Kluyveromyces lactis: one gene and its partners. The protein of the gene in region 3 purifies or fractionates together with the protein of the main gene of each other region. This does not show direct contact. Links are inferred from orthologs where the notes say so. Each region holds a gene or a part of one and is shown on either strand. Other genes may lie near its edges.

Region 1 (6,052 bases), about 580 kb from region 3:
GCTTAATCTTCTAGTTGAACTTCGAGACAGCCGGGCTCCAATAGCCACTAGGAACCTCATATTCGATTACTTGTCCTTAGAAAAGAAAGTTGACAGACTAGTAGTTTACACCAAAACTGATCAATGCGATCCTGCTATTATTGCATCATTAAATAAATGGCATAAGGAAATGGACGAACAATATATCATGATAGATGGAAGAAGCAAAAAGGGCGCTAAAGATCTCTTACATATATTAAAATGGAAGTATGATAAGTTTCTCCAGAAAAATGATCCGGGGAAGAAGACTGTGGGACTACCACTGGGTTATAGAATGCTAATTGGCGGCATGCCTAATGTTGGGAAATCAACACTCGTTAATAGTTTAAGATTTACTGGATATGCAGGCTTGGATCATTCGGATGGAAGCAAACCCAAGAAGGTTGCGAAGACAGGTGATCAGGCAGGTGTCACCAGGAACACTAGTGAATGTATCAGAATCAGTGATTATAAAGGAGGGTTGTTTCTATATGATACGCCTGGAATATCTTTACCTGCCAAAGCAATGAGCAAGCAAAGAATGCTATCACTCAGTTTATGTGGGTGCGTTAAAAACAATCTAGTGGACCCTGTGATTCAAGCAGATTTTCTGTTGTATCTTTTGAACCTACAGGGAAAATATCAATTCTACACACACTACACTACAACCCCTACTAACAACATTGACATTTTGTTGAGTGGCCTCAAAAAGCAAGTAGGAATGACAAACGAGAATGCTGCAGCCATCTATTGGACAGATTCTTGGAGACAAGGTAGAGTTTTAAAATCTGGGTTAAGATCTGGTTCTAAGAAGTCCTCTAAAGCTACTCCAGCTCTATTCGAGTTGGAACCCATTTTGGAAAACTTTCAATACAAGAAAACTATGCAAGAAGAACTTGAAATTCTCAAAGGTTGGGATGTTTTATCCCAACCCTTACTCAACAAAAGAGAAAAGCATTTATCTAAGGCAAATACGCTTTTCTGAGAGAATACCTAAGAAGTAGTCAGTTCTTGGTTAATTATAAACAATGTAAATAAATAATAGAAAAGTATAGACTAGTTTTCCAACATATATCGATAAAGCAAATCGAACCCACCGTCCAAATTCCTAAATAACTCGCAAAAAAAAGTTCATTTTATGAGAAGGAGGCTAAATTGTTAAGTACACTCTCCCCGTTTATTACCACCGCTGACTACCTATAGGTACATCCCGAACTGAAAAAAAAGTTTGCGTGCTAATGAAGGTTTCGATACCAAGGAAGTCATCCGTTAAGCAGGTTTGATTTTTTTCTTATAATCAGCAAACGATAATTTCTTTTTCATCTGAGCTTGGTGGATAGTAGACGAAGGGCCGGGAACGCTGTCTATTCCACGCTTCAACGAATTTTTAATGCTATTAGAATCGGAAGTGACACTAGTTTGTCCTTGGTTTGATATAGTTTCGGTTATATTTGTTATGGTGGTGTCAGTTGGAGGGTTATCTTCAGTACTTATTGTCTGTATGGGAATAGGAAGATCGGCTGGGTGTTTAATCTGTGATTCATCGAACTTAGAAGGATCTGAAATGAATGAAAGACTTTCTTTAAGGGGGTCAACCCTGTTTTTGGACTCCGTCACTGAAACCCTGTATTTGTTCCCTCTGATACTCCCAGCGTTCGTATGGAAAGACTTCTTCTGTACAGTGTCAGAGACCGGTTCTAACATCTTTAGCTTAACGGCATTGAATTTAAGTAGAAATTCATTGGCCCTTGCTGCGTCTGAGATTGTGGCATGCGCTAATTTACTGAGAATAGATGACTGTTTTTTGGTTTGCAATTTGTTTCCGTGTAATATTTCGTTAAGCTTGTATCGATTATTCATTTTTGATTTGACTGATCTATAGAGTGATTGAGAATGGCGTTTGATTTTCAGCAAGTAACAATCTTTACTATTACTTCCACAGGCACAATCACAACTTCCTAGAATGGTGTCTATGGAATGTATGAAAAGATACCTTTGTGGCTCTTCAATGGAATCTATGCTCTCATTATGATTTATTAACTTCCATATTGGATGTCTCAGGTCCCAGTCCCATTTGATGTGAAGTTCTTCACCTTTATCAATGAATCTTAGAGCTCTAAGAACGAACTTTATCTCATCCTGGTTATTGGAATTAGTCAATTTGATTGTGACTAGTTCAACATTGGGATTGCATGATCGTCTCAAGTATCTCGTTAAATTTCCACTTAACCTGGCATCAATATAAATCGGCCAGTGGGGATGAATAATGACTTTAGGTTTTGCAGTTCCCCAGACTCTATAGTTATTTCTTGGATCTTCTAAGTATTTCCTTTGGAAATCAATCTCTCCTAAGAATTCATCGATGTAGTCTCCTTCATCACATCCTTGCTTCAAGTATACAGCTAACTTGGGGTATCCAGGGAACAATCTTGAGTGATTACTGTCAGAATATGGTTTAATTTCAATCGGAATAGGTTTGAACGTTAATTTATGATAAGGTATAACCCAGTCGTCATCAGCGTGGTCTTTTACGAAAAGTTCAACGTATTTATCTTTGTAATCATTTGAAGTCAAAGGGAGATACACTGTAGGATAAGCTTCTTTAGCATTTATTAAAACAATGTTCGTAAGAGGATCTGCGGATGGAATGGCCTCTGGTTCTATACGATGGTCCGTCGCTTCAGAAGTACCTGGATTCCGTGAGTCTTTCGTACCAGACGTGGCCTCTTTTGTCTTCACCTCTTTTATGTTGCCATTTGCCGTGCGTCTACGCTTCTTATTCTGAGCATTTCTGATCCTTTCTTGTTGTTTCTTCTTTGCTAGCTTTACATCTACAAACCTAGAATTGCAGATGTTGCACAGAAAGTCATCTGGGGCATCTTTTTCATGTTCAATTCCATAGCATATAGCATGTTGCCAACGGAAACAATGGTCGCATTGTATAGTAAATCCATCATCATCTTCATAGCCACAGATGCACGTTATTATACCAGCATCTGGATCAACAACATAAGATTCGGGAACCGAAGAAAACCTATCCGTTTCAGATTTTTCAAGTTTTTGTTCCTCTACAGCTTCTTTGAAACTATCTTCTTGTTCCACCACTTTATCTTCGCTCTTTGCTTGCTTTGAAGGAGATTTTTCCTCGGCACCTGATCTAGGCATTGGCACGCTGTTGTTCGCAGCAGGTTTTCTATCGTTTTCTGCTTTTCGTTTAAGAGGTAGTGGCATCGTAGCTGCTTGTGCTAACGCAGCAGCCGCAACCATACCCTTCTTATTCCCGCTTTTCTTTGTCTTTTCGCTATTTGAGTTGCTGCGATGAATACCATTGTCAACGGGACTGCCTTTTAGATGATCATCGTCATCATCATCTTTGATAAGTGCCACAGATGCAGGGCCCGGTGATGTCATGGGATTCATATGCATACTTATATCACCAGCGCTCCCACTGTGACTACCAGCTTGACTTCCGACCTGACTTGCAGTTCCAGCGGAAGGAGTTGGTGTCATTTTGTGTGTATGTATATCGGCTTTTAACTCGTCTTTACCCTCATCGCTCGAGTTGACGTTTGAATTCGATGTTTTAGAGAACATCAACAAAGTGGAGGCATCGTCTATTAACGACTGGTCCTGAGCATGTTCTATAGTACCATCCGTCATCGTTTACTGTATATTTCCTTCTTGTATTGCGGTATTTGATTTGAATATTTGAAATTGAATGAAAAGTCGGTACCTTAATATTAATAAAGATGTCCTAACTTGCCCAGCTTGATATACTTATATACCCTTCTTTATCTTAAAAGGGATCCCTGTTTTCAGGGCCTAGTATGCTTGTTGTCCGAGCTATCGAAGTATAGAAAGCACAGCTAAAACAGTCTATACGTTCTGAATCAAACCCAACAGGAAAAATTAAACGGCCCTTTCTGATCCTCGTACAGCTGTTCTATCAAGTTTGCCAACGGTTACTTCGTGAAAGAGATATGTGCGAGTACCTTATTGACGAGAGCTAATTAGACACTCAATATGTCTGGGCTGGTCGTTTCGTTTCGTTCCTTATTAACATGTTTATTCATCCTTCGTTTGTCAATTTTTAGAAAGATAGTTAATGTTGTTGATTTTCAAAATTTTGTCGTTAAACGGTGAAAAATGTCGTACCTTGAATAATGAAGAGCCGATGAGTTGTAAACAATAAACAAGGTGCAAAAGCACGGTTAGTAGCAGTACCGTTTTCGTTTAACGCAAAGCTGTGGGTGAACATATCGCTGAACGCAAGATTGTGTTACTACTACATGTACCAAGCTGTAGATACTTTTTCTTTTTCTTTATTACTTATATTTAAATACCGGTTTACTGCCAACAGATCCACAATTGCCATGCAATATATTACTCTGTTGCTGCATAATATCAATTGCCGGAAAGGTTACAGTCTTGGGGTGCCGTAACTTTCTTGGTACCATTCTATTTCTTGTAATGCTTTCTTTTCGGGTTCTACTCTCCATTCGATTTCCGTACCGTTCCAATCACTTTCCCTGTACCTCCACTTGTGTGCCAGTATTGGTGCTAATCTTCCTTCTATTTTCTGCTGTACGTAGCTTCCGATGTTAGGAAGAAACTTGTAAGCATGTCCCGAGTCTCCACAACATACATACACGTTTTTCAGGTCGGGGATCATGTCTATAATGAAGTCAGAATTTGATGTGTCACTGATCCAGCATATCTTACAATCAATGATATCCCTTAACTTTGACTTTCTTTTGGTATCGAAGACTAGATCCGGTAGATATTTACCTAGTACTGTTCTTATACGCACGACTGCCTCTATTGGTACACTGGGTGCCGCATCGGGCTGTAGGGCCCGATAGACCGCTCTTGATTTGTTGCTCATATCATCATATGCAGACATCGCACTAGTGCAAATCTTCAATATCCTGGTGTGCTTATCTGGAGGGAACAGATATCCTAAGCTACTGTTGAAGACCACTGGAATATCCTTTAACTTTTGATATTCTTTGTCCGTCAGTTGAATATGGCCTACATATAACCCAGTAGCCCTGATCTGACCATACATAGGCAGAAGTGATACAGTATTAGCACCACATGCAACAATAATTTTGTGTCCAAGGAATTTTCTGCCAGATTCACATTGAACAGTGCCCGCTGACACACTCACGGCTCCATCATTTTCATGAAATACGACGCCTAATGATTCAGCATAATTTTTCATGGTCACTAGTGAATCCCTAGCCAAACCAATACCACAGTCTGGATTGTAACGAATCTCATCGTAGCGTTGACTATGAGAAAACTGAGGGAACTTACCACCACAAGTTAACTCTTTATGTAGTTCCACAGTTTTACACTTATTAAACTTTGTTTGTAGAAGTTGTAAACTGTCATTATCGAAAGCATATCTGCTTGTATTCTTATCTTGAATTGCACTCAATCTACCACAATGAGAGTAACAATCATGCAGCATTCCTCGAGGCAAAAATTTGTCACTTTCACCGTGCCAGTATCCCATTGCTTCCACTGCTAGTGCAGCGTAGACTTCATCGTTGTACTCTAGTCTAACAATTTTATTATAATCACAGGACGCACTTAACTGCGATGGAATTTGAAACTTATCAACCACCACAACTTTATATTTGGAACGAGCCAATTGCACAGCAGTACTTAATCCAAATATACCCGCGCCAACAATGACAACATCATAATTGGACATTTCCGGTTCGCTGCCTGTCTAATGTGAGGAAAGCTGTATAGTTGAATATATTATCTATGTTCTTTCTTAACCGAAGTTCTTCTTTATAAAGACTTTGAAGTACAATGTAAAGTTGATGGCTCGAAAGATTTTGAATCATCGGACCTCGGAGCTGATAGGAACAGTTTACCAAGAAAAAAAAAAAAAACTTGAGATAGTAAACAAAGACAGTAAGGATAATAGTGTACATAAGAGGTAAATCAAGTAGAAGTACCATGTTATAGAGTGAAAGAGTTGTCGGCATTTCTGTCCTGTATCCAACAAGTTATAAAG
Region 2 (4,134 bases), on a different chromosome or scaffold from region 3:
GACATAGTCTCTTAGACATTGTTTTACTTCTTCGACAGATGGAGCTGGCTGGTTCTTGAACTTCAAAGAGATACATTCAGTGTGACCGTCAGAGACAGCAACACGGTTACATTGAGCAGAAACCTTGATTTCGTCATCGCTCAATAGGTTAATTTGAGATTTATCTTGACTCAAAGCACCCAAGATCTTCTTGGTCTCCCATTCGATCTTGTCTTCTTCGCCGCCAATGTAAGGGATGATGTTATCTAAGATATCGATACTTGGGACACCTGGAGAGAAACCAGCCCCGGAAATGGCTTGTAAAGTGGTAGTGGTCAATAGAGAAATAGGACCGAATTTTTCAACTAATGGTTTCAATGGGGCCACTAAACCAGCAGTAGAACAGTTTGAGATACAAATAATAAAACCAGGTCTTGGCTTACCTTCTTGCTTGGCCTTTACCAAGTTCGCGTTAACCAAATCCAAATGTTCTGGGTTGGTGATTGGAACGATTAATGGCACATCTTCTTCTCTTCTGTAGTTCTTAGCATTAGAAATAACAGCTAACCCATGTTCCTTGAATTCCTTCTCAATTGGACCAGCATAGTCAGCATCCAAACCAGAGAACACAACATCACAGTCCTTGAAGGCATCAGCGGTACATTCAGAAACAATGATGGACTTAGCAAATTCTGGTAACAAATCGGTTTGTTTCCAGTTCACAGCATCGACATACTTCTTACCTGCAGATCTGGAAGAAGCACCCAAAACCTTCAATTCAAAATCTGGATGGTCAGCTAACAACAAGATAAATCTTTGCCCAACGGAACCAGTAGCTCCTAAGACACCAGCGACTTTCTTACCCATAGTTATAGTATATTATAAGTAGTGATTCTTTCTTAATCTTCCTAAGCAAGATTCAGATCCTCTTTATCGCTTTAGAATAAATACGATCAAGAAAATGAGATAAGTATATTAGAAGCAAAGTAGAGCAACGATGAATGCTACAAGTGTGTACAAATATATACCTGGTAGTAAGGAATCGGATGTTAATGTTGATATTCTTTTCAACTGATGTCATATCACTTTGACGAAAAATTCCAACTGACTCACACTCTCTCTGTGTGAAAGAAACCGCAGGTGAGCCCATTGGAAAAGAAAAAGTTGTGTATTTGAAGTCACGTGGTATGTTGCAATTAGGGTGAGCTCCAAGCTTATGCATTGATTATAACGGTCACTGTATGTAACTTAGCGTATGTATGTATATATATATATATATATATATATATAATGAATGAATACCCTCCCGATTCGTGGGTAGTGCAAATCAGCCGTCTATTCAGAGTCTGATGACGATTCCGAGGATGAGGATGTTTGTTTGCTGTCACTGGAGGTTTGTGAAGATTCCGGCACATCAGCAAACTTGATCTTTTTCCCTCCAGTAGCAGATTTAGCCACCGTATCTTCTTCTGTATTACCAGTAGAACTTGTGCTGGAGGGTTCCATCTCCATTACTTGAGGTGGTAGACCTTTGAAATCTCTTTCGACTCTTTTCAGCTGCGCAAGAGCACTGGAAAGCTGTGTATCTAGAGCCATTTCATCGGCACTAATGCCACCAGAAGTTACTGCTCCCTGGGTTGTAGAAGCTCCGCTTGACGCTAGTGTCACGCCTGGTACTGATTCCTTTTCGGCAATGAAACTTGCTAGGAATTGTAGTACTTCGTCTTTAGATAGGTATGTTGGCGTGCCCACCGTATGTACCACAACGGGCGTGTTCAAAGTGGAGTTTGCTGGTCTTCTAGTTCCCCTTAGCATGGTATACGTGGTTGTTCGTTGGAGTGCGATGAATCAAATCAGCATCTATATATTTACCCAACCTTTGGCTATCTCATCTCATCTCATCTCATCTCATCGCATTATTTCGATTCAGGTTTTGTCTCTCGAAGAATTTTTCAGCTGAGGCACGGGTAACTCAGGCATGTTTCTCCGTGCCTTGCGATGTTAACAAAATATGCAAGTCACGTGTGTCACGTGACTTGCGGCGACAATGCGGTTGATGTGTAAGATAATGGGGTTTCCGTTTTCGTTACCCGGCCGCATGTCATCACCTAATACCATTTTGCGAAGCCAACGCCACCCTTTGTTAGCAACTACCAACCACTTTCTCAATTGAACTCTGATTCAACTTCAATCCAATTCCAATTCAAGTCCAGTTCTTGCTCTTCTGTTCTGGTTTGCAAAATCTTGGTTACAACACACCAAGTATCAACTACTAAACTAAACTAAGAATGTCTAAGGTATTTTTCGACGTGGAAGCTGACGGTCAACCATTGGGTAGAATTGTTTTCCAATTGTACAACGATGTTGTTCCAAAGACTACTGAAAACTTCAGAGCTCTAGCTACTGGTGAAAAGGGTTTCGGTTACGCCGGCTCTGTTTTCCACCGTGTTATCCCAGACTTCATGTTGCAAGGTGGTGACTTCACTCACGGTACTGGTGTCGGTGGTAAGTCTATCTACGGTGCTAAGTTCCCAGACGAAAACTTCGTCAAGAAGCACGAAAAGCCAGGTTTGTTGTCCATGGCCAATGCTGGTCCAAACACCAACGGCTCTCAATTCTTCATCACCACTGTTCCATGCCCATGGTTGGATGGTAAGCACGTCGTGTTCGGTGAAGTCGCTGATGGTTTCGATGTCGTCAAGAAGGTCGAATCCCTGGGTTCCGGTTCCGGTGCTACCAAGGCCAGAATTGTTATCGCTAAGTCTGGTGAATTGTAAGGAAATAAGCTAGGGAATTGACTCTTTTTTTCATTTTAATCCTTTTTTCTTCCCTTTATCACACTTCAATCGCTCGGGATATCTATATATATACTTATGTCTATAACAACCCATTGACTAATTGAGTGTATTTGATCTCACTCAATTGGTAATGGAAGACACTCAAATACATATATACAACACCCTTTTATATCAATGGAAGTTTATGACTAGATCATCATCTCTCCTCTTTGGCCATTAACAAATGTAGCTACCCAATGAAAATGGTTACCCGGGCCTGTTCCCTTTTCTCACCTGAAATTTCCCAATTTAGCTGCCCTCTGCAATCAGCGCAACCTTTACAAGACTTTTCAACATAAAATAATGATCATGATTAATGATCAGTGAGGATACGTTCGTCATTTCAGTGCGGTAACCCGTTGTATCTGCAGTGGTACGCTATTGATCACGCTGGACAGGCTATATCTTATCAGTAAGGATGGATTCTATTTCTAAAAAGTTGGGTAATTTGGGTCTGCATGATTTCAGAAATGCTGCAAGATTTGCACAGAACGTTATAGTTCAGTATGAACCATACCAGATCGATATTAGACGTGCTACGAATACCGATTCCTGGGGTCCAACTCCAAAACATTTGGCTAAAGTGATGAGACATCGTTATGAGGTTTCAATGTTTTTGATGACTGAATATACTTTGAAAAGATTAGTCGATCATATGGCTAAAAGACCTAAGAACATGTACGAAAAGGCCAGAAAGCAGTACGTGAATTACGGTAACGAATGGAGAGTTGTGTTGAAATGTTTGGTCTTGTTAGAGTATTTATTGATGAGGTCAGATAGGGGCAAAGAGACTGATCAAGTGCTATCCTGTTTACAAGCACATAAACATATCTTAACCAAGGAAACGATGCAGTATCGTGTTGATTTCAGTAGTGATGGGAAGATGGAATTACATGAGCGTGGTATCAAGAAGAAATGTGAACATATCATCCAGTTGATAGAGGATACTTCTTACTTGAAACGCGAGCGTTCCAAGACCGCGGAAAATACACAAAAAATCGTTGCCGGATCTGCCGGATCTCGCTCAGAATCTCTGTATAACGATATTTCCATCAATGCAGACTCTTTCGCCGGATCGTCTTCTACCATTGATGACTCGGACGACTTCGAATATGAACCTACTCCAACGGCTCACAGAGATCGTAGATCGTCTGCTGTGGACGAACAGAGAAGACAGAGAAGAGAGCTATTACGAGAAAGAATCCGTAACAGTGAACATCAAAGAAAAGTCTCCGCGCAGGAACCAGAAATCGATCTATTGGACTTCGATGATGCACCAGCTCCTGCTTCTCCTTCAATCAACAATAGCAATAATGCT
Region 3 (4,904 bases):
TGTCTTTGAATTCTTTGATTTTTCCATGAATCTTTCGTATTTCCTTTTCACATCCACTTCATGGATAGATGAGCCTGTCACTTGATTTCCTATCGTGAACCATCCAGGACGGATGTTATGGTCCCTACCGAAAATTTCAAGTTTACGGGCATGTGTACCGACAAGTCTTTCAATGATTCCATACAATTCGTCCGGCTTTCTACTGGTTTCTCTAGTTGCGCTAATGATCAAGTCAATGTCTATTTTTCTGTTTAGCCATTCCGGATTGCCTTTGACCCCGACGAGTAAATGCTCTTTACTGTGGTTCAACCAATGGCCAGTTCTACCTGTCACAATTGTTCTTCCTAATTGGTTTGTCTTGATCCAAGATATTTCATTTATTACTTCGTAACCCCAATTCTGCAATGATTCTTTCCCTACTTCGATAGCACGGCCGGTTACCCACAAGAACAATAAACCTTCTTCCTGCAAGAGATCAAATGGTAGTTGCAGTAACTCATTATCATTGCAAGTACCGTAGGGCAAATTCATATGAATGTTCCATGCGGGATCTGCAATAACGGCTGAAAATTTACCAAGAATATCGAAGTCAAACTTTCTGACGTCACATTTGATCCATTGTGGAGGAAGAAGCTTCTTAAACGATGAAGAACAGCACTCTCCATGCGTATAGAACGAATACTGCTTGCGTTGCTCTTTTTGTTCTTCAATTTTCTGTTTTTGGAGAGATTCAGGATAATATTGCAGATAGTGGACGTATCTGCAGGTACTTAACTTGTGACAAGTATCCAAATACGAACAATCTCCCAACGAAAGATCCGTCTGTGGCTTTAAATTTGGTATGAAATGAATGTGCGTGTTCGAACATTCGATAATATCCGGACAATCAGCTTCAATCTTCTTTAATTTTTCACCTTGCAAAGACATGATTTTGTTGTTAACAGTATTGATGACGGTGGATAGTAGTGACACATGTTTCGGATCTGAGCATATTGGTATGAAAGGTGATCGCTTAGTGTTTAATTTTGCCTGTTCTTTAGATAACTTAGTGGATCCGAGTTCTAACGAGAGGATTTGATTTAAGTGTCTTAGACACTTAGCATTAGGGGTTACAATTTCACTCTGGTCCAAAATGCCCATCAACTTATTTAATAATATGGGTTCGCTTTCAATTTTTCTTTCTTTAACCTGAACAGAATCTTTATCGATCGCAATCTGCTTGGCTTTATTGCCAGTATGTGATAATGACAATTTAATAGCTTGGTCATAATGAACTTTTTGCAATATTTTCAAGGAGTCCCCATCAACAAATGAAATCTTTTGGCCAAAAATATTCCCGCCACTATCATCTTCAAAATTCATGCAACCACCACATACTTCTGAAATTTTATTCAAATCTTCACAAAACTGGTAATACGTCTCACCACATTCGTTATTCTTCCATAGGAAATTTTGCATGAACATGGAATAAATGACATAAATGTCGTGTAAGCTACCATTGATCGGGGATGCAGTGATGGACGCATAGTTGTCCAACATAAAATCAACTAACCCCCAATTCAAAGACATAATACCAGTTTCACTCCTTTCACTGCTCGGACAATTTCTTTCGAGACGCAGCTATATTCAGTTTCGTTTCACCTTGTTACTCCACTCAATAAAAAAACAACCGCCGACGTCAATATCTCTGGCTCCAGACAAGATATAACAAATCCGTATATTTTTTTCGATCACCACAACTTTCACAAACTTTCTGTGCCTACAATGTCATGAAACTATATATAAATTGCCGGCTTTTCCTCTCAGTTCCATCCACGTTTAACAATGGTTCTGTCTTAAAAAGATGGTGTATTTCGTGATGAAGCTGGGATTTTTTATTTTCAAATCCGAGTTTGATCTAGGTAGGAATTCGTTGTGAACAGGGGAATACACAGGCTCCAAACTGGCAGGAAAGTGAAGGGCTTTACCAGTGTATTATACGTGAATCTGCAACGATGCTGATCTCTCTTTAGAATTGTGGGGTACATCCTTCATCTTGATACGTTGTTATCACGTGATTGGTTCATGTGATGTACGGAGTTTATGGTTCTGATCCACTTGGAATAAAAAAACATGGAATTTGAAAATACAGTAATAACAGAACAACACATAAATAAAGTACGGAAAGGTCGAATAGACAATCGACCGAGCCAATACCCAACTCTTTGCAGATTGTAGCTACCAAGTATCAATTCTGGCTGAGTGGCAGTTATTCATTACGGGTAAGTGGTAGCGGAATCCTTTTCATAAGATGTCATCGGATACACTTAAATTTGATGAGAAAACGGAAGCTGAGAAGCCATTGTTTGATTGTGATTTTGGGACTTCCTATAGTCCCAGAGTCTCGTACCACTTCAATTCGAAGGTATCACAATATCATTACGGTGTCAAGCATCCAATGAAACCTTTTAGGCTTATGCTTACCGACCATTTGGTTTCGGCATACGGGTTACACAAAGTGATGGACTTATATGAGACGAGGTCAGCAACAAAGGATGAGTTAACAAAATTTCATTCTGAGGACTATGTCAATTTCTTAGCGAAGGTAACACCAGATACATTGAATAAACTTCCTCGAGGGTCACTCGAGAAATTCAACATTGGTGACGATTGTCCTATCTTCCAAGGAATGTTTGATTATGCTGCCTTATATGCTGGGGCATCGTTAGATGCTTCTAGAAAGCTACTTAATGGTCAGAGTGAAATAGCTATCAATTGGTCTGGTGGTCTACATCATGCGAAAAAGAACAATCCATCTGGTTTCTGTTACGTTAACGATATCGTGTTAGCCATAGTAAATCTACTGCGGTATCACCCGAGAGTGTTATACATCGATATAGATTTGCACCATGGTGACGGTGTACAGGAAGCGTTTTACACTACTGACCGTGTGTTCACTGTTTCATTCCATAAGTATAACGGCGAATTCTTTCCAGGTACAGGTGATTTGGATGAGATAGGTTGCTCCAGAGGTAAGCATTTTGCATTGAACGTTCCGTTACAAGATGGGATCGAAGACGACTCATACATTAATTTATTCAAAAGCATTATTGATCCCGTAATAACATCTTTTCGGCCCAGTGTAATTATTCAGCAATGTGGTGCCGACTCCCTTGGCCACGATAGACTTGGCTGTTTTAACTTAAATATCAAGGCTCATGGTGAATGTGTACGGTTTGTCAAGTCGTTTGGAGTACCAATGCTTGTGGTTGGAGGTGGTGGTTATACACCAAGAAATGTTTCAAGATTGTGGACGTATGAAACAGGATTATTAAATGGGGTATTGCTACAACCTAAACTTCCAGAAGGTATTCCATTTAGAGATTGGTTTGGCCCAGATTATTCATTACATCCAACACTAGATGACTTGTATGAAAACAAAAATTCCAAGAAATTTCTTGAAAATATACGGATTAGATGTTTGGAGAACATCAAATACTTACAGGGTGCCCCAAGTGTTCGTATGGATGCAGAACTCATCCCAACACAGGACATCACTGGCCTAACTGAAGAAGAAGAGGAACTGATAAAAGAGTTAAATGTCGAAGAGGACAAGGCTAGGTTGGCACAAATGGAGAAGGATGACTTTAAAGTGGGCGAACTATACTAAAATATCACGTGCGGAAATCTGATATATTTGTTTTTTTTTCTTTCTTTTGGTTACGCTTTGTAAATAGATATCCTATATGGAGTTGTTAGAATACTACTAAATTAACACTATTAAGGTAAAATTATGAGCACGAAGAAAGTGCCTTCGAGGTTAAATAAATACATTATTACCAATTAATATTAAGATCGTATACTTCATTATGCTTACATGGTATGGGTTTTTATTTAACTTGTCTATATGTGTTAAGAAATTTTCTGAAGATATCCTTTAGTAAATAGAATATCTTTAAATTGCTGTGAATATTAAATAATAATGGCGGATGGAGGTACAAAAGGTATTGTTTTGAAGTACCATCATAATTTTGTAAATTGTCGAAAACTTTTGAGAATAGTCTTCATCAAACGAAGAGTACTTTTTTGTCAGTCTACTGGGATTTTGAAATCAAACAAAAAAAGCGTCTCCTTAAACACCAGCTTCGAAGTCCTTTTGAGCCATGAAAATGGATAAATCAACCACTCTTGAAGAGTAACCATATTCATTATCATACCAAGAAAGGACCTTGAAAAAATGGTCGTTCAATTCAATACCGGCCTTGGCATCAACAATAGATGAACGTGAATCGGATGTGAAGTCAGAGGACACAACGGCGTCTTTGGTAACACCCAAAACACCCTTCATATCGCTGCGAGATCTTTGTTCTAGGGCCTTCATAATGTCATCGTAAGAAGTTTTCTTTGCTGTACGGAATGTCAAGTCAACCAGGGAAATATTAATTGTTGGGACTCTTATAGACATACCGGTGATCTTACCATTAAGTTCAGGCAAGATTTTCCCTACAGCCTTAGCTGCACCAGTAGATGAAGGAATGATATTTCCCTGGCAAGATCTACCGCCTCTCCAGTCCTTACCACCAGAACTGGTACCATCGACAGTCTTTTGAGAAGCAGTAGTTGCATGAATAGTTGTCATCAAGGCTTCTTCGATACCGAACTCATCGTCCAAAGCCTTAACCAACGGAGCCAAACAGTTGGTAGTACAGGAGGCATTAGAGACCACGTGATCCGTCAATGGGTTGTATTTAACGTGGTTAACACCATAGACGTACATTGGCGCGGTCTTTGATGGAGCAGTAATGATAACTTTTTTGACACCTTTATGTCTAGAGGCTGTATCGACTTCCTTGAAGACACCGGTTGAGTCAATTACATAATCGACGTTGTAGGAAGCCCATGGGATACGCTCTGGTTCCCTAAAA
Region 4 (5,904 bases), about 510 kb from region 3:
TAAGTCAGACACCAAGATAACTCATCGGAAAACTTCAACCTTGGCCTTACTTAGTTTTTACAATGTCTTGTAGTATGCCACAGCAACTAATTTGCTTGTAATTATATATAATGATAACAATAAGATATACTTAAAGTACCACAAACTGTATTTTTCATGGCCGAGTTATAAGCCTTAAGTGACCCCAGCAACATCTGCATCAAGAATGTTATTTATTTACTTCTTTTTTTAGGACCTACCTGTGTCCCCAAGAAAAAGTAAAAAAAGCAGAAATGTTGAAATACTAAGCACAAGAAGTAAACTTGAAACAAGGTACCGAAACAGAGCTAAAAGTTCATTTGTCTGTTTTTATCGTCAAATAAATCAACTGCTGTAGGTCCACAAGTTATCATTGTTATTGGCATAGATTTAAACCTTCGAATTGCACGCCGGTGGGTTTTCCTCGACTTACCACACACACATTCAAGGCGGCAGAGGGGATATTTTGAACATATTAACGGGGAACGATTGTGAGATCTTAGCTACTACATTAGAGGATATTTGAGAAAAGCTTGTACAGCAATTTATTGAAATTATTGAATATTGTGTTACTTCAAAGATATAGGAAAACTAAAGCTGGTACTTGATTATTTCCCTAGACGCTGGTAACCCATAAGAAAACCGTTCTTATCTCATCTTGAATTCCTGGCCAAAGAAATTCGGTAAGAAACTTATTTGGTTATAATTATATTAAACATTTGATCATACTTGCAAGTCCTTTTCAATACCCAACACCGAGCGATATGGAGGCACCGCAGAGAATAAGTACAAGGTCACATCATTCGATGCAAAATAAAAATTCAAAGAACCTTTGTCTTCGAATAGGTGATTCCCCAACGAAAAACAAACTAATAATGGTGGATTCAAAACCAAATGAAAGCAATGATACTTTCGCAGTGCCATTGCGCCACCAGCTTACTAAACGTGTAAGTGAAGCACAGATATACACTTTACCGCCACAGCTTAAATCTGCCAGATCCACACCCTCTACACCACAATTACCGTCTGGCAGTTCGGGCTTTGATTCAGCCGCTTCACCCTCATCGTCTACGTCTTCCTCGCCTTTCAATAAACCAACACTTCCAACAATCAACACCAAATTTCACAATAGGCCGAGGGCCACGACAATTGCGACAAGTGTACCTCAGATACAGACGCCCAGTAATGATTCAATGGAAAGCACGACACGGTATTGGGTTCTTCAAGAAAATACGCCCATGTCCTCTACAAATTATGATAATGATATGAAGAGCATCCCATACAATACCCATTCTGATGAAGACTCACCGAGCTATTCAGAATCATACAGAGAGAAATATTATCCCAGTGGACCGTTACTTGTCGTCCCTCCTTTCATATATTTGTATTCTGAACCATCATTAAAAGAAGTAATGGATTACGACGTAATAATAAACGTTGCAAAGGAGATTACCAACTACAAGGAACAACTGCCTCTATCCAAGCAAGGTTGCTATTATCATTTTACTTGGTCTCATACCTCACAAATTACTAAAAACCTACCACAACTAACAGAACTAATACAGAATGCCTATGCCAGCAAAAAAAAGGTGCTAATCCACTGTCAATGTGGAGTATCAAGATCAGCTTCCTTGATAGTAGCTTACATGATGAGATACGACAAATTAAGCTTGAATGAAGCATATAATAAATTGAAGTCTGTCGCCAGAGAAATAAGTCCAAATATGAGTTTGTTATTCCAACTAATGGAATGGGAAGATTGGCTTAACAATTGTGACTCAATCAATGATAACTGTCGGAAACAGTCATTCGAGTCCATCTCGGAATTCGGTGAACTCTCTCTGTGAGATTGTATGATATAAAACGCAATTTTAGGGATACCCATACAAAGTATATAGTAGCCTAAACACTACTCTGTAATAATACGCCGCGGATCTTCTGTTTGGGCAAACTATCAAAACGTACCAAGTGATAATTCTGTTCTTAAAAACATTAAACTTTTGAAGGTTTCTAAGTTATGATATAAGGTAAATAAAGCTGGTGACAAGGGAGAATAATGCAAAGAAACCATTAGATAATACTGTCCTCCCACTTATTATACTTCGGACTTTACGTTACTCGAAGGATTCATTCAGAAGAGTGCGAATTATGGAAAATCAGAGGCCATTCATAACTTTCAAACCTTTCTGAAAAAACCGAGTAATAACCATGAGCGAACCTGTCAAAAAAAGAAGCTTGGGCAGTTATCTATCTCGTCTCGAAGAGAGAAGAGAAGAACGAGAAAGATCAGAGCAACAGCAGCGAGAAAGTCCTAAGCCAGTGGGTGAAAATGGGAATTATTCTGTTACCAATGTTCCAGTAAAGGAGGAAGAGGTATCTCAAAAGGTAACTTCAACTGATCAGAACAGTACAAAACAACCATCAGACGAACCCTATGTCGTTAGCCAAGCAAACAGCTCTGACCAGAAAGTTGGATCTCCTTTGAATAATCAAGAGTCAATACCGGTGAGACAAGCGGAAACGAAAGGACCTATTAATGAAATAAAACAGGAAACGGATGTAGAAGAAAAGAAAAATCTACCGAAAGTAGGGAGAAATAAGCATTCTGACGAAGAATATAGTAGTGCACTCAGTGAAGTTGAAAGTGACGCACCGACAGAGCCTGCATCGCCACCAAGACCAAAAATGGGGAGACTAATACGAGGTGATCAACTTGAAAGCGGAAACAACAGTCGACAATCAAGTGCTCCAGTATTGACAAATGATGGGGAATCCGATTCTGATCTTTCCGATTTAGATGAGGCTCGTACAGCTAAAATATCAAGCAGTGCGATTCACGAAGATTCCTCTCCGGTGAAACATTATAATGAACACAAGCGCAAATCCTCTAGTATAGAAAACTCCTCCAATCACAAGAAGCAAAAACATTCTGCCGGGAAAAAGATACCGAAGACTAAGCGTGGAGTACATAGGGATGCCGGAGGCAGGACAAAACTACAAATTGCTTGTGATAAAGGCAAATATGATTTGGCAAAAAAACTTATTGAAGAAGACGGCTATGACGTTAACGACCAAGACAACGCTGGAAATACGCCACTACACGAAGCAGCTCTAAATGGTCATTCAGCAATTGTCGAGTTGCTCGTAAGAAATGGAGCTAATGTTAATATTCAATCATATGATATGTTTCTAGATACGCCTCTTATTGATGCTTCCGCGAATGGCCACATAAATGTTGTAAAATATCTTCTAGATCACGGAGCAGATCCAACAATGGTAAATGCCAAAGGTCTAAGTGCAATTGAATCTATTGAGGAGGAATCAGACATGGATAATGATGATAGAAGAATAGTGCACGATATGAAAGATATGTTAAAGAGAGCAACGAGGAAATATATAAAACATTCCCATCGCACCTTACAGTCTAGTTCCATGTCAAGACATTCAGATGATATAGACAAACAACTCAACCATGATGACGACTTTTATTGGACTGATATCAGTTCAAAATTGGGTAAAAACAAGCTTTTGAAAGCTTCCAAAGAGGGGAAATTAGCATACGTCGGTTCGTACCTTGAAAACGGTGGTAGACCTGATTTCAGATGTTTCCTTGAGAGTTGCATATATGGTCATGATGACGTAGTAAGTTTATTTTTAGCCTTTGGCGCACAAGTTAATATGAGTAACAAAGAAGGTCAAACTCCGTTGATGCTATCTGTCGGGCGTGGACATGTCAACGTCGTGAAACTTTTACTCGAAGCCGGGGCGGATCCACAGAAAACTGACAAACGAAAGAAAACTGCCTTGCATTATGCTAACCACAGCTCTCTTGGTCTAACGGATCCTGATGAAGTGAATTTACTCAAAGCAGCGGTGAGGGCAAAATATGGATACGAAGTTTCAAACAACAGCGATGAAGAGGGGGAGGAAGATTCTGAAGGGAAATCTCCTTCACCTAGAGAAATATCGTCAATTCCATCCACCAAAGGAGAAGAGCAAGATCGTTCTTTGGAAATTCGTAAAGATGATAGTCCTTATCATTCAGAACCACAATCTAAAATCGGAAATATCAATGAGGAAAAGCCAAAATTATTACCTGATTCTCAAACGACAGCAGAAACTGCTTCCCTAGTCAGGCCAAGTCTAGAGAGACTAGACTCAACAAAATCAACATCTTCAACATCATTAACTCATCGTTATAAAAGTGCATCTCCTACACATCAACTATCCACTCCGCCTATTCTTCCGAAAGAAAGCGAAGAAGAGAGAGCCGCAAGGTTGAAGAGCGAAGAAGAGTACAGGCAAAAGAGACTGCAACAGAAGAAAAGGAAAGAACAGGAATTCTTAAACAGATTAGCTGAAGATGAACGGAAGAGAGTAGAAGAGAAGGAGAAATTGAAGCAACAGGAGGAACAGAGGCTAGAACAGGCCAAGAAAGAGGAACTATTAAAAGAAGAAGAACTTCGAAACAGAAACGAAGTAGAAAAAAGATTAAAGATCAGAGAGCGTTATCCAATTGGATTGAGAGTCATTGATTTCAAAGATCTTGAGAATTACGATAAATTTGGGCCTGTGTACTACTTCACTGAAGATGGATCAAAATGGGTGCTAGATCTTCAAATAAGTGTCATTATCAAATCCAGCACCGAAGAGTTAAAGAAACAATCATCAGAATTTAAAGAAGTGGAAAAGGGTCAGTACCCACAACTATGGAATCTTTTCAAATTCATCTTCTTATATGGCGGCAGCGATAATGCAAACAACTCGAAGTCCTTGCCCTGGAGGCAATTGTCGGAAATTGACCAAACAGAGTATGTAAAATTCTATGAACTCCCACTAACATGGATTAAACTATCGCGATTGAACCTGCAAGATTTAAACCCAAAGATGAATGACTGGATTGAAAAAAATATGATAGAATTTATCCCGGCATCTACATCTGCCTTGTACAGAACAAGAAAGGTCCTTTTACGTGATAGCAAAAGACCTGGCCAAAACGAAAATAATGCTAACACACGCTTTGTCCCTGCCAAATATCAATCACGCTCCAAAATGTTACCATGGTTGAATGCCTCCAAAGCGCTTTGGTAGGGTCATTATACATAGCATAAGAAGCTTAACACTGTAACAATACATAAGAAAAGATAGAAGAAGAACGTCTTCCTCGGAAAATAGAAGTCACGTGGATTTTATATACACGTGACTCGGACCTTTGCAGATGATTTTCCACGCCCTTCATTCATCACTTCCCCAACCCGTACTATGCGACTGTCTTTCCGGGAACATGATTGGCCAGAGTCTGATTTAGTAACGTTAAATCCGAAAAAAAGTTCCATCTCGTATGAAATGACCTAAAACACACCATCATATCATAAACCTTCGATTCTCCTTCGAGATAAACAATAGAGTAGAAAAAAAAACTGTTACCAGCCATTTTTCTTCGAAGCGTTTTCTTGTTAGCGTTTTTTTTTTCGGCCCACTTCCGTTGGTGCTATTCACCTTTTATAATGGAGAAACATGAAAAAAAAAGCTGTAAATTTTTCATATAATTTAAATAAAAGATAAAATATAAAGCTGATTTTAGCTAGTTTCACAGATTTGAACATTGTTTTGGTATAGTTTCTCTAATTTATTCCAAGGGTTTTCTTGTTTGATATTAGTATTCACAACTAGCGGCCAAAGATTTTATAAAGAGTATGTGCACCGTAAGACGTAACATAATCAGGGGATTGCGAATGGGAATTTTCAATAAGGAACAAATGCGAACTGGAGTTTCCGGAGATAATGGATAAAATCATAAGAAGAACGATTTAAGAGATGTTCTAATTATCATCCCGATGAATAAGGTGGTATAGTCATACCTGATCAGGTTTAAAGTTTTAAATG

Evidence for each region. The genes of interacting proteins can lie anywhere in the genome.
Region 1: the proteins of HOS2 (region 3) and KLLA0_F02882g purify together in Saccharomyces cerevisiae (affinity purification with mass spectrometry; 5 studies listed by BioGRID, with this or other methods). This does not show direct contact. The link is inferred for Kluyveromyces lactis from reciprocal best matches to the Saccharomyces cerevisiae genes HOS2 and SET3.
Region 2: the proteins of HOS2 (region 3) and CPR1 purify together in Saccharomyces cerevisiae (affinity purification with mass spectrometry; 4 studies listed by BioGRID, with this or other methods). This does not show direct contact. The link is inferred for Kluyveromyces lactis from reciprocal best matches to the Saccharomyces cerevisiae genes HOS2 and CPR1.
Region 4: the proteins of HOS2 (region 3) and HOS4 purify together in Saccharomyces cerevisiae (affinity purification with mass spectrometry; 3 studies listed by BioGRID). This does not show direct contact. The link is inferred for Kluyveromyces lactis from reciprocal best matches to the Saccharomyces cerevisiae genes HOS2 and HOS4.

The regions. Positions count from the first base shown.
Region 1 is NC_006042.1:266,788-272,839, reverse strand, and holds KLLA0_F02882g (uncharacterized protein), read right to left. Parts: upstream 3,679-6,052; coding exon 1,288-3,678; downstream 1-1,287. Other genes in the region: putative GTPase MTG1, read left to right, coding at 1-1,003; KLLA0_F02860g (NAD(P)/FAD-dependent oxidoreductase), read right to left, coding at 4,439-5,740.
Region 2 is NC_006040.1:1,413,807-1,417,940, reverse strand, and holds CPR1 (peptidylprolyl isomerase CPR1), read left to right. Parts: upstream 1-2,267; coding exon 2,268-2,756; downstream 2,757-4,134. Other genes in the region: HOM2 (aspartate-semialdehyde dehydrogenase), read right to left, coding at 1-846; DNA-directed RNA polymerase I subunit RPA14, read right to left, coding at 1,315-1,794; ENT5 (Ent5p), read left to right, coding at 3,235-4,134. UniProt on the Saccharomyces cerevisiae protein: PPIases accelerate the folding of proteins. It catalyzes the cis-trans isomerization of proline imidic peptide bonds in oligopeptides. Involved in histone deacetylase complexes, suggesting a function in chromatin.
Region 3 is NC_006042.1:846,177-851,080, forward strand, and holds HOS2 (histone deacetylase HOS2), read left to right. Parts: upstream 1-2,290; coding exon 2,291-3,649; downstream 3,650-4,904. Other genes in the region: IME4 (mRNA (N6-adenosine)-methyltransferase), read right to left, coding at 1-1,569; KLLA0_F09141g (type I glyceraldehyde-3-phosphate dehydrogenase), read right to left, coding at 4,112-4,904.
Region 4 is NC_006042.1:340,544-346,447, forward strand, and holds HOS4 (Hos4p), read left to right. Parts: upstream 1-2,226; coding exon 2,227-5,109; downstream 5,110-5,904. Other genes in the region: KLLA0_F03597g (dual specificity protein phosphatase family protein), read left to right, coding at 783-1,865; KLLA0_F03641g (cytochrome c oxidase subunit IV family protein), read left to right, coding at 5,712-5,712. UniProt on the Saccharomyces cerevisiae protein: Unknown. Component of the Set3C complex, which is required to repress early/middle sporulation genes during meiosis.